Drosophila melanogaster: one gene and its partners. The protein of the gene in region 2 interacts with the protein of the main gene of each other region in a pairwise test. Each region holds a gene or a part of one and is shown on either strand. Other genes may lie near its edges.

What was found. Proteins that work in one complex are often made in the same cells at the same time.
Region 1: the proteins of vlc (region 2) and Cpr64Aa interact in a two-hybrid assay, tested with the Drosophila melanogaster proteins (one large-scale study listed by BioGRID).
Region 3: the proteins of vlc (region 2) and CREG interact in a two-hybrid assay, tested with the Drosophila melanogaster proteins (one large-scale study listed by BioGRID).

The regions. Positions count from the first base shown.
Region 1 is NT_037436.4:4,207,325-4,211,207, reverse strand, and holds Cpr64Aa (cuticular protein 64Aa), read left to right. Parts: upstream 1-2,029; 5' UTR 2,030-2,115; coding exon 2,116-2,316; intron 2,317-2,643; coding exon 2,644-3,021; 3' UTR 3,022-3,370; downstream 3,371-3,883. Other genes in the region: Cpr64Ab (cuticular protein 64Ab), read left to right, coding at 1-207.
Region 2 is NT_033778.4:5,700,482-5,705,985, forward strand, and holds vlc (vulcan), read left to right. Parts: upstream 1-1,630; 5' UTR 1,631-1,706; exon of another isoform or gene 1,707-1,907; intron 1,908-2,193; exon of another isoform or gene 2,194-2,385; 5' UTR 2,386-2,396; coding exon 2,397-2,466; intron 2,467-2,569; coding exon 2,570-3,735; intron 3,736-3,804; coding exon 3,805-3,901; intron 3,902-3,953; coding exon 3,954-4,438; 3' UTR 4,439-4,958; downstream 4,959-5,504.
Region 3 is NT_033777.3:17,392,759-17,396,402, reverse strand, and holds CREG (cellular repressor of E1A-stimulated genes), read left to right. Parts: upstream 1-1,762; 5' UTR 1,763-1,867; intron 1,868-2,093; exon of another isoform or gene 2,094-2,136; 5' UTR 2,137-2,143; coding exon 2,144-2,587; intron 2,588-2,648; coding exon 2,649-2,730; intron 2,731-2,802; coding exon 2,803-2,912; 3' UTR 2,913-3,131; downstream 3,132-3,644. Other genes in the region: sds22, read right to left, coding at 3,494-3,644.

The sequences.
Region 1 (3,883 bases), on a different chromosome or scaffold from region 2:
ACCGGGGACAGCAAGAGCCAGCAGGAGGTGCGGGATGGAGATGTGGTCAAGGGCTCCTACTCGGTGGTCGATGCCGATGGTTCACTGCGCACCGTCTTCTACACCGCCGATCCCATCAACGGTTTCAATGCGGTGGTGCAGCGAGGACCAGTTCCGGTGGCTGCTCGCCCATTGGTGGCTCCAGTGGCTGCTCCAATCTTGGGCTAACTCCACAATCTTTCAGAGCCTTTAACACTGCTTGTAACCTAGCTTTTACATAACTTATTGTCTGCTCCTTAGTCCGTTGTAAAGTCAGTAATCATTAAACAATAAACTCAATAAGCCAAAGAAATACATGAAATCCTTCAATCATATTCAAGGAAAATCCGCAAGTATTCGCTTCTCAAGGCGTTGATTAACTAAAATTAATCAAAAGCTCTACTAAAATTCCGAAACGAGTTTAAATTTACACCTATACATTTTTATTAATTAGTCAGTTGATTAGACAAGCTCAAGGCCCAAAATGCATACTTGCCTAGTTAATGATAATGAACTAAATTAAAAACACACTTAAAAGTAGTGCAAAATAACAAGATATTCAATGGACATTTTTTCAAGATCAAAATTTGCGTGTTAATTATGATGCAAATATCGTCGTTTTGAACTTGAAACTTAGCAGTGTGTTAACTTTTTCAATTACATCATAATTGCGGGTGTCAAGAAATGGAAATGGTTATGTGCTTAATGGAACTAATTACTTGGTGAACATTTTCGTGACTCCATGCCATGTAAAAGTGGTTTTGTAATTTTAAATGTAACAAAATGTAACCAGGAAAAGCCCAATTCGCCAAAGAAAGCTGACCCATTCCACTTACATAAGACCGCAATCTTAGATGGTTATCTCCCCTCCAGCTGTCCCACGCCCAAAGAACTCTTCCACTCCAAATGAATACATTCACTCTCGCTGGCCCAACACGCACTCAAATTATTCAATAGCTTAATTGAAAGTAAAAAATCGGCACGAGATGCAATTTTTGGATTACGCAAACCCCAACCCGAGCATGTCCATAGATGTTGCTGCCGGCGCCGACTGCAACTGCAGCAGTTACTGCAACTGCAACTGCAGCAACGCCTAACAAGCGGCGGTACGCGTTGAAAATTAGTGATAATGGCCAAAATTGTCCCAATGGCAACAGAGCAGCGAAACAGAACCAAATCTATACACTCAAAAAAATACTGCATGACATTCGAAAATCTATAGGATTGAACAGAATATTCTACAATTGATATCCTTTTGTATTGTATATGTTATCCAAGTACTTTTTTCGTAGAGATTTTAATATCACATATCACATTCATTGCGGTTAGAACTTTTTCGTTTTCTCGCAGTGCATTGAATGCGTCTGGCGTAGATTTTTTGGGTGGGCGCGGCTTAGAGCAGCCAGCCAGTTTCGAAGGCTGTGCCCCAAACACACCTTTCAACAATCGACTGCTGGGTGCGTGTGCAGCGTCGCCCCAATCTGGTGGCCATAAAGTCGAGACATGGAGACATGGGAGGCACTGGTGCTCATGCGTCCACCACACCTGATCCGTCCGGCCACCCGGCTTAGGCCCAAATAATTCGCTTTCGAATTGAACTTTTTTGTCACGACAACAACGACGGCGATTCAGCCGGCGTGGGACCAGTTTGCTTTGGTCCAGCACAGTCCTCCCAGACTCCCAGACATGCGTGAACCGCCAAGCACCTCCAGCGCCTTCAGCTCGACCGGCAGCTCCTCCACCTCCGGACAGCCCCTTCTGATTGCCATGGGCAGCGAAAAATGAATTATTTTATATTTGTCGCGATCGATGCGAGCATTTCGCATAGGCACAGGCCGCTACAGACTCCACACGCATGCTCACTTTTTAGTTGTTTATTATTATTTTTTGTGTCTTGCTGCGCTTTTTGCATAAATATCTGGTGGCAGGCGGCGGCGGAGGCTGTGGCGGATTTTTGGGCTCGCGTCTATGTGAGGCCTATAAAAAGCAATTGTCGTGCGGCCACAGAACCACAGATCGAGTTCATTTGTCAGTCGAGCAGCAGTAGACCTCCAGTTCTCCACTACTCCATCGCAAACACCAAGCAATCCGTCCAGAATGGCACAGAAACTGATCCTCGTCCTGAGCGCCCTGGTGGCGGTGTCCTCCGCCGTTGTGGTCCCTGGTCCCGGACTGGCACTGCCCGCCTATCCATCGTACCCGGCGCTGGCCAAGGTGGCTGCTCCTCTGGTGGCCAAGGTGGCGGGTCCGGAGCCATACGATCCCAATCCCCAATACACCTTCAGCTACGATGTTCATGTGAGTCAGCTTCGTAAGAAGTTATTAGTCACCTCATAAAAAGCAATGCCAATTCAGAAATCTGCATTCGAATTTTATTGCTTTATTGAGCAACTGGTATGCAAATTTTGATTTTGCCAGACATTTTTATGAAGTGTTTATGGAAGCTTAGAACTATTAAATCCGACCACTTGGTTGAGCAAGTTGGATGTTGGATATAAAATATTTATAGTTTCCTTGAAATCCTTAGGATATAAGATGCAAAGGATTCGTTTCAAGGCATTTCTTTAAATATAAAGTACCTATTCCTATCCTTTGCTAATCCAACAACTTCCTTCTGCCCACCAGGATGGCTCCACTGGTGACGTGAAGAGCCAGCAGGAGACCCGCAGCGGAGATGTGGTGCAGGGCGCCTATTCACTGATTGAGGCCGACGGAACCCGCCGCATTGTGGAGTACACCGCCGATCCCGTGCACGGATTCAACGCAGTGGTGCGCCGCGAGGGAGCTGTGGTGAAGGCTGTGGCTCCGGTGGCCAAGGTTCTGGCCCCGGCTCCGCTGCTCCATGCCTCTCCTCTGGTGGCCAAGGTGCCCGCCTATGGTCCGGCTCTGGCGCCCGCTTACCCGGCTCTGGCCCACGGATACGGACCGGCTCTGGCTCCCGCCTATGGACCTGCTCTGCCCAAGCTGGCCCTGCCCGCCCTCTCGCCCCTGGGCTACCACTAAGTCAGATGGATGGATATACACCACTCGAATAATGCCGACCTCTTGCCGCAACCGAATAATGGACACATCGCGACCAACTTCTCCTGCCACCTGGGCTCCAGTTAGCCGGAGCTCATGGGCCGATCATAGTCGATAGTAGTTGTAGTATTAGTGGAAATGAAAGCGATTTATCGAAATATGTACATACGAATTCACGGACAGCGGATTCCGATTGCCCAGTCCTTGAGTTACGGATCCAATGTTCCCTCATCTACACTCACACATTCTCGAGACCTTTCATTTATGTTTCTTGTCTTCTTAATCTTAAGGCTGTTTGACCGCGATAAATACTCTATAATCCCCAACTCACAATCCCCGTTTCAATTCTTATTTAATCCGAGCCTGTGCACTCGAGTAGAACTCGCAGAATGAGAAACGAGATTGCAATAAACGAACCGAAGCTATGCAAATGGAAAGTTAATGGAGTATTCTTTTACGGGAAATGAAAATTTGGAAGAAAATTACTCTGATTCTTGAGTTTTAAAACGGAAGCTGATTTCTGTTTAAAGCTATTGCTTGAATATTATATCGAAATATATTACAACCATTGAACATTAGTAGGATTCAAAGACAATTACTATATTTGTAGCTAAATAATTGAAAATATCTTATGTTACATATTTTTTGAATATATAATTTTCAAATAAATCGGTTTCCTTCAAGAACTAAAGAGTTATATTTGAATAATATTATTCAACTAATAGGCAATAACTTGCTTGTGAATTTTTTACGCTTAATAAAAAGTAAAGCATACTAAAGCTATTTAATTCGATTTTAATTGCCAAGATTGCGTTTAATTCTAAATCATTGAATGATAATCGCT
Region 2 (5,504 bases):
ACGAGTAGAGATTAGTTATTATTTATAGGGCAAAAGGGTATACTAGATTCGTGGGAAAGTATATAACAGGCAGAAGATAGCGTTTCCGACCCTATAATGTATAATGTAATGTAATATATATATATTCTTGATCAGGTTCAATAGCCGAATCGAACTAGCCATGCCTATATGAACGCCTCGACCCAGAGCCGGTTTGTTGACCCATTTTGACACGCTTGCTCTAACGCATACAAATGTCTGGATATTTTTGTATTAGTCTTGAAAGTTTGTATCGATTTGCAAAAAATATACTTTTTGCCACGCCCATCGAACGCCAAAAACGGCCACGCCAATACTATTGAAAAATGTTTTATATTTTGTTCATAATTTTTCTTAGTTTTGTAAATATCTATCGATTTGCCAAGAAACTTTTTTTATAATTTTTAAAATTTTTATTAGTCATGTAATTTTTGTTCGATATGCCAAAAAATATTTGGTAGCCCACAAATCGCACAAAAGTGTCACGCCCAAAATTTTAAATTTTATAAGTCTTGTAAATTTCTCTCGATTTGCAAAAAACACTTTCTGCCACTCCCACATTCTTGATAATTGTTTGGATATTTCTTCATACTTTTATTAGTCCTGCTTAGTCTATCGATTTGCTTAAATACTGTTTGCCACGCAAACTCTAACGCCGCAAAACCGCCCAAAACTGCGACGACCACATTTTTGAAAAACTTTTGGATATTTTTTCGTAACTATTAGTCATGTAACTTTTTATCGATTTCCCAAAAACTTTTTGGCACGTCCACTCTAACGCCCATAGCCTCCCAAAACTGCCACGCCCACAAAAAAAGTTTAGATTTTTCTTCGTTTTATTTTTTGTTTTTTCATTTTTTATTTATATACCAAAAAACTGGCCACGCCATCTTTTCGCCTACGAAACGCGCAAAACGGTCACGCCCACACTTTTAAACAATTTTAAAATCAGGTATAAGCAGGTATAAATACTTATCAAATATAAAAGAGTTCTTTATTTAATTTAAAGGATGGCCAAAAGAGTTGATTTTAAATAATGTTATTTAATATATTTACGCAAATGGTCAAAGAGAACTAGTAATTCGGAAGAACCGCAATTAAGACTGTGAAAAAGATTGCAGCGCTATCGTCTGGAAAACAGCTAAATCAGTTGTTTACTGTTGAATGTAAATAACAATTTCTGCCTTCTCGTGGCTTCAAAAAAATAAATTGCAAATTTAAATCCTTTTTTTTAACGAAATCCAAAAATTTTGCCTAAATCGAATTCGAAAAAAATATTACGTATGCCGAATGCATGTCCGATATTTGTCACATCATGATCACGAACAACAAATTTACATTTTCTTCATCTTATTTTTTCCATGGATATAATATCGGACCGGCTCGGTTTGGCTTACATGAAAGCTTGATGCAAATTGCTTTAAAATTGCGATTAATAAGCATTGAAACGAACTGACGGACTGTCTTGTCAAAGCATATAGATAGTTTTCAAGCACCCCTGTGTTACATTTTCACAGTTTCACTTTTAACAGAATCTTATCGCCGTTACCTTAACACTTGTCCTAAAAATACCATGCACTATTTAATCTTAAAATGCGAAGCGGTCGGCGAAATGGCGTTTTTAATGTCCAGGTCATGGCAACACAACCGCTGTTCACCGATCAGTTTTTATTGGTTTTCAGGAATAAGTAAATTGGATTATTGAAGGCTTCACTTGGCACGTATTAGCTTGGATTTCTATACGCTCAAGCTGCGCAGTCTTCACGTTGTGTTATGAGACCAAAATAGATCGAAGTGCGTGTGTGTGTTATTACCCAAAGGAGTTGTGTTCTTTAAACTTCGAACGCCACCGACATCATCATGTTTTTCATCTCACCGAATTATAAATAGTTGTGTGTCGTTTGTTGGTGCCATAATGAATTCTACACGGGGCCATGGGAGGGAAAAAGTACGGGAACTGGGCGAAGCATCAAAGAAAAGCCAGCAAAGCGGAACTTTCAAAGTGCCGTTAAAGCTGTTCCCATCTGCTAAGCTTACACTTACACATTCACAGGCTTAACTTAGAAGGCGTAGTGCGCTGCTTATATTATTGAATTTGACTGGTGTTTCAAAATATATGGATCTGATTGGAGAGATAGAGGAGATCTGAATCATTATGTTTTGGGTTCCGAATAAGATAAATAAAAATTACCTGTCAGGCTCTTTCGATTCTCTGAATGCTCAATTTCCACATTAAAACCAAGTCAGACGTGGGCGTTATCAGTTTATTCGTGTTTATTCCTTTTGGAGGTCAACCACTAACGGCTAATTACGGTTAAGAATTGTAAATTGCATGAATAACTAAGCCCAATGCTTTTTATACAACAGGCTCAGTTTTCATGGATCGCAGTCTGGACTCTATTGGCAGCTGTTCACTGGATGTAGACGCCGACTCCTCCGATATATCAGGTAAATATTTATATGGATATTTATGTGGATATACATATAACCAACTTCAATCGCCTTGCAACCCATCTGTGGATTACATCGGGTTGATTTCCCCGAATTGCAGATACCAGTGGGAGCCTGAACTTTCCAACGCCGGTCTCAGTAAGGGACATAACACGCGAATTTACTGCCAACCTTCGGGAGCGCTGTGTGCCTAACTTGCCTCCCCAGCCTCAGCACAAAACCCCTGCCTACGTTGAATCCAGGTCGTCAGAGCTGGAGCACATGGTGCTGTCACCTGCAATTGTGGAGTGCGACCAAGAGCCGAGCTCCAATGATTTTGACGAGACTTCTGCAGAAAATTCACAAGAAGCTCCCGAAAAGAAGCCCAGCTATTTAAACCTGGCTTGCTGCGTCAACGGTTATTCCAACCTTACCACCTACGACTCCAAGATTCGGCAGGACATAAACAAGTCACGTGAGGTTTCCCCGATTCGTCCCTCCACCAGCAGTCTACAGTACTGCAAACGCAACCACTTTCTAGCGACACCAACTCTGCACAGCATGCCTTCTCCGGCCACCAAGTGCAAACCCATCGAGCCTAACAACAACAGCAACGACAGTAGCGGGAATTTTAGTTCGGGTTCTGGTCACAGCAATGGAAATGGCAGTTTTATCAAGCAACGGGTGGAGCGACTTTACGGGCCGGGTGCATTAGCCCAGGGTTTCTACAGCCCCAAAAAGCACGGCCAGTCACCATCGAATGCTGCAGGGCGATCGGAAAGGGGGCAGGTGGAGATCGACTCTCTACAAGGCTCCGAACTGGCTCGGAAATTCAAGCAGCTCTCCCCCAGTAAAGACTATGGGGAGTTTCGAAAAAAAATGCAGAAGAAGTGTTCTCAGAGTACAACGGCGAGGATAGACGAGCCGTTGCATTCTCCAGGGCTTAACGGAGATCTTGACCTGCCCGTGTTTAGGCACCTTAGTCAAGAGTTCCGCGCCCAGTTGCCTACTGTGTCACCAAAAAGGGGTGCTCCTCGATCTTGCATGGCTCCTGATGTACTGCTTGTAGATAACGAGTCAAGTCCAGACCATGGTCCCACAGATGAAGTAGACCACGAATCCACAAAAATGGACAAACTAGCCTCAGAGGAATACATCAGCACTTCCAATATTTCTGTTGAAGCTGTTGTTAAGGATGGAAATTTCTTTCTGAAAATACTAAAAGAGGAACAAAGCCGTCTCTTGGTGCTAGCCGCTCTTGCTGAAAAATATGCAGACGCCTTGTCTGTAAGTGATCTAAATAGTGATTAAAATCTCAATTGTTTTTATTATTATTTTCGACACTGAACTCTACAGACAAATCCAGATATCTCCGAAGATACCTTTGGGCTACTGCGATCAGCGTCGGGTAAGGCCCGTCTCTTGGTATCGCAGAAAATGAAACAATTCGAGGGTACGCGTATTGCAAAGCATTAAATCACTTGTTACTAACATTAATATTTTAGGTCTTTGCCACAATAATCTGAATCGCTCACCAGAGGATAAGTTTCCAACAACTCTGGATGATTTACAAGGATTCTGGGATATGGTTTATTTGCAGGTGGAGCACGTGGATTCTATTTTTGCTGATATAGAGAAACTCAAAAGTAACGACTGGAAGGTAAAAGCACAGTCCGTCGCTGACCAACCCGATTTGCACACCATACCAACTAAGACAATAAAGCCGTCAAAAGTCGGTGTTTCGCAAGTGAAAACAGTCGGAAAGGCATCCAGCGTTCGTGTGAATGGCTCGGCACCTCCCCCACCTAACTCGGCAGCAGCTTTAAAGAGGGAGGCCCAGAGAAAACTGCTTCTAGAGATGAAACGTCAGCGTCGCGAGGCTATGACCGCAGCGGCCAAATTGAATCCCATAAATGTTGATGCCGACCCGGACGTGCCGGGAATAATTGGCGATAGTTGTGCTAATCCTAGCGTTAGCAACGGAAGTTAAATAATGCTCACTGCGAATAGCAACTCATGCTTTCTATTTATACATATATTTTTAACTAACACACGTGTACCCCACAAAGGCATACTTAAATTTATAGATATTTCTAGTTGAATTAATCATTTACTAGTCCCAACTAAAATTATTGTGTTGGAGCTCCTCACTGAAATCTGTCACAAGGCGTCAAATATCTAGGAGATAACGAAGTATTGTCACCAATTGCGACTTACCTAAAGTTGTTCATAAATATTGCCTTATCCGCGAAAGATTTCGCTAATTAATCAATTTGCTGTGCACATTATGTAATTGAAAATTAAAATTACTTGATTACATATAAAAAAGACATTTATTCACGTTTTACATTATTTAAGTATTTTAAAAACCAACAAAATTTTTGTATAACATAATTTGATGTTTTATAATTATTTTTGAGAAATTTAACTTATACAACTCTTGGAATATCATTTCTATTAATAGGCAAAATATTTTTATACAACTGCAAATAAAAATAACTCACACATTTAAATTAAAAAAAAGTTAATGCTATACTTTTCCCTAGCAAATCACTGTGGTCGGCAATCGGCGTAGTGACGAAGCACAGGGGGACGTGTGAAGGCGAAGAACTTAAAATCGCTAACTAACTGAAAGGTAATCCAAAATCTAATAGGATCGCATACCAAACGTTGATAGGAAAAAGAGAGGTGAAAGTATAAATCATTGCTAAATTATTCTGAAGTCGTTGAAAAGTATGCAACAGGCAGACGGAAGCGTTTCCGACCATATAATCAAATATATAAATATATATTTTTGATCAGGATTAATAGCCAAGTCGATCTGGCCAAGTAGAGTGATTGATTTCCTAAAAAATATATATTATAGGGAAAAGTAAACTTTTCCGACCCTAAAAAGTATATATATTCGCTATTAGCATCAATAACCGAGTCGATCTGGCCATTTCCATCCATCTATCCGAACGTACATATGAATGAATGTCAAGATATCGAAAACTATGAGAGCTAATTCAATGGGATTGGACATGAGACTCTGCTTAAGGTGGTTTCAAAGCGCT
Region 3 (3,644 bases), on a different chromosome or scaffold from region 2:
AGCTAAAAATAACCACGTAAAGTACTAGAGCCTTCTGCACATTGGGCTAATGGCATTAAACTAGAGAAAACTAACGTTGTATACTTTATTATTTTAATGTCGGTGTGTCTGTAATTGATTTGTATGAATATTAAGATGATTTAAATGCATTTAGTTATCATAACCATAATCAACGATATTTGTATGGCAAGTAAAAAGAGCTAGACGTAAATGAATATTGTATCATGCCACTTAACTGATAAGCACAAAAGATATCTAGAGATAACATGGACTCTGAGTTGCTGTTCTTCTAGTGAATTTGGATTAGACACTACTTATAAAAGGATGAAGAAAGTGTTCTGACGCGATAACAAAACAATTCAATATTTAACAGAGATTAATGGTTTATTTACTAAGTGATCTTTCTATTGAATAACTACAGTTTTCTGCTGTCAAAACATTTTTATTCGGCACCTTTTAGCTCCGATCTGCCATTATGGTACTACTCCATTGAATCAGCTCAAAAAGAAGTTACAAATTCGATTTATTTATTTTTATATCGTAAGCATAAAACGGGAGAAAAATACCATTTAAAAAAACTCCCCCCAACATTGCAACGCAAATGGGCTTTACATTTTAAAGAAATCTTTAAAGAATCAATAAATCAACGAAGCTAACTTTAAATGTTTTACATCCATACAAACATATTTACACTATACACGTACGATCAACTTTTACACATCTATTTTTTGAGAAAACACTCGAGATCTACGCGTACATATTGATTTCAGGACTCCATGAGATATGTACATATATTTTTCAAACAAACTGTATGCGGCAGGGTAAACTAATCTGGCAAACGTAATTAAATTACAACACAAATTGTCTAATAATATGAGAAAAATGAGTATATACAAAATATACAAAAATAAAAAACGTAAATGTAACAGAAATACAAATAAATGTTAAACTAATAATCGCACACTAGAATAATGAAAACACAACACACACGGTGGATATTCAGAACCAGAGTTTGGCGAAATTTCGAGCCAATCGCAAATAGAAACAATAAATGTTAATTGAGGTCAAGTTAAATGAAAGTGAAATGTACAAGTTATATGGTAAAGATGATTAAGTCAAGCATAATGATACTCCTAAAAACAAAAATCATATTTAAGCATACCTACATATTTGCAAAATAAAAGAAAACAAAATGTTAAACTACACCAATCTCTGCTCAAGATCTGCTTATACGAGCCTAGTTTTATAGCAGTCTACTTTATTCAAGCTGGCAATGCTGTATGCCACCGTTATTGGATGATCGCTCGGTTGGTACCCTCGGACTACGAATGGCTAACTAGTTTGGTGTTACGTTTTTACTCGGCTTGCCAATTTACCCAAAAGGAATTTGTTAAAATAATTCTTAAATTTTATTTTCCTTTACATCAAACTATTTAATCTCAATGGTGATTTAATTTTACGGCAGCTGTTTTCTTTGAAAGTTAAAATTTACCACACACATTATTCTTATTCCTAAAGTCCAAACTTTAATTAATTAGATATTCGTTTTTATTTACAATTTATCGCTGCTTTCTGCATACATTACTGACTAAGTGCTCAAAATAACCAGTTAATGGGGCGCATTTAAAATCATCTTGTAATAAAAGACACTAATGGATTTTTGAGAGACTGAGAAGAACTGAGAAAAATGCACGAACATATGCGTCACATACACCCCACCGCATCCGAGGTACCTGCTGAAAACAGCTGGTTGTGGTTCTTTGTACTCGAAGCAGGTGATAATAAAGGCGCAATAGTAGCCCAGTCAGTTGACAAACAAATCGCAAAGCAGAAGTACCGACAGGGGCCATTAGTCCAGATCCTCCAGGTAGGCATAAATACATATATATATGGGCATTACTGGCAGAATGCGGCGCACAGAGAAAATGAAAGAGGCGTAAAAGGTCAACGCTATCCGTAGTCCGCTTTGTTTACGGCCTACATCGTGAATCAGAGAGAGTACTAAAAGTGCGGATTATACGCGATTACGATGACCGGAAGATAAGCCAGTCATTGCGAATTCCCTGTCCATAAATGCTGACCCGTCAGCTGTCCAGTGTTCAGTGATCTTTCAGAACCGCATCGTTATACTTGCAGTCTAGCCATGAAAACCTTTCACTCCCTACTATTCGCCCTGATTTTGGCCCTCGTGAGCCTGGACCCCTCTTCCGGTTACTCCCGCCGGAAAGATGAGCGTATAATTAGAGAATATAAGCGAGAGCAAGAGTTAAATCACGCCAAGATCGCCAGAGATTTGGTCCATCGCGCCAATTGGGCGGCTGTGGGAAGTCTCTCCACCAACGAACGGGTGAAGGGGTATCCCATGGTCAACATTATCTCCATCGACGACAGCGATGCTAATAACAGGTCCACTGGACGTATTCGATTCCTGCTAACCGATTTGGACTTCACTGGTCCCGACTGGCAGAAGGACAACAAGGTCACACTCCTGTTCAGTGACGAGCAGACCCTAAGATGCAAGGAGGGCGGAAAGGATCCCATGGAGCCTACATGTGCCCGTTCCATGATCAGTGGACAGGTGAAGAAGGTATGAAAAATGAATTAAATCCTATTTAAAATGGATTAAGAATGTTTTGGCTCATTTGAAGATGGATCCTAGCGACAAAAGCTATCAGCCATCGCTGGATGCCTATGTGAGGCGTCATCCAGCTGCCATCAATTGGGTAAAAGGTTGGTGAAAGCGAACCTCATTAAGAGCTCGATATGTATGTACTAATAATAAATACGTTGTTTCTTTTACAGCTCACAATTTCTACCTTTGCGAACTGGAAATTAGCAATATCTTTGTTCTGGACTTCTATGGAGGTCCTCATAAAGTGAGCGCCTCTGACTATTACGCTGTTTCGAATTGATGAACTCCTCCAAAAGCAATCCAACTGACGCCTCATATACTTTGTCAAAAAATGAAATGATAAGCATATTTGCACAACATGTCTGCCACAAAGGGAAAGAATGAAGACAAAGGCCTTTATGAAAGCCACTTATCAGTTGAGCTCTGTGATTTCAATCGATAGAACAATAACTTTGATATAAATAAAAATACATTCCGTTGAATGTACTCTGACATACTGAAATGTATTGTTTTGGTTTAAGAGAAACCAGAATTGTTTAACTAAAATGTTTTCATCTTTTTAGATTCAATTTACATTATTTATGTGTATATATAAAATACTTTTTAGTTTTATATGTTAGGCGGTAGCCTAGATGGATAATTTATCTGACTCATTAGGTAAACTTCACGCTTTGAGTAACTTATCCAAATATACCTTCTTCTGAAAGCAAACTAAATCACTGCACCCACCAATTCGTAGATAGAACCATTAGTGGTTAATTTGTATGTATATTTTAAACGCAGTTTTTCAAAGTTAATCGATATAAATGTAGTGGCGCAACGCCGTGGATTAGTCTTTCAAGGGGTTTACAGTGGTTCCATCTAGGTACCGGGCACCTTGCACAGGGTGGCATCAATCTTCTGCAGCTGCGGCAGTATGTCGCGCAGTTTGGAGCGGTAGCGAACATCCTTGGCCAGCGGATTGTACTCCAGGTAGATGGTCTGCAGCGCCTTGTTCACCTTCAACAGCTCA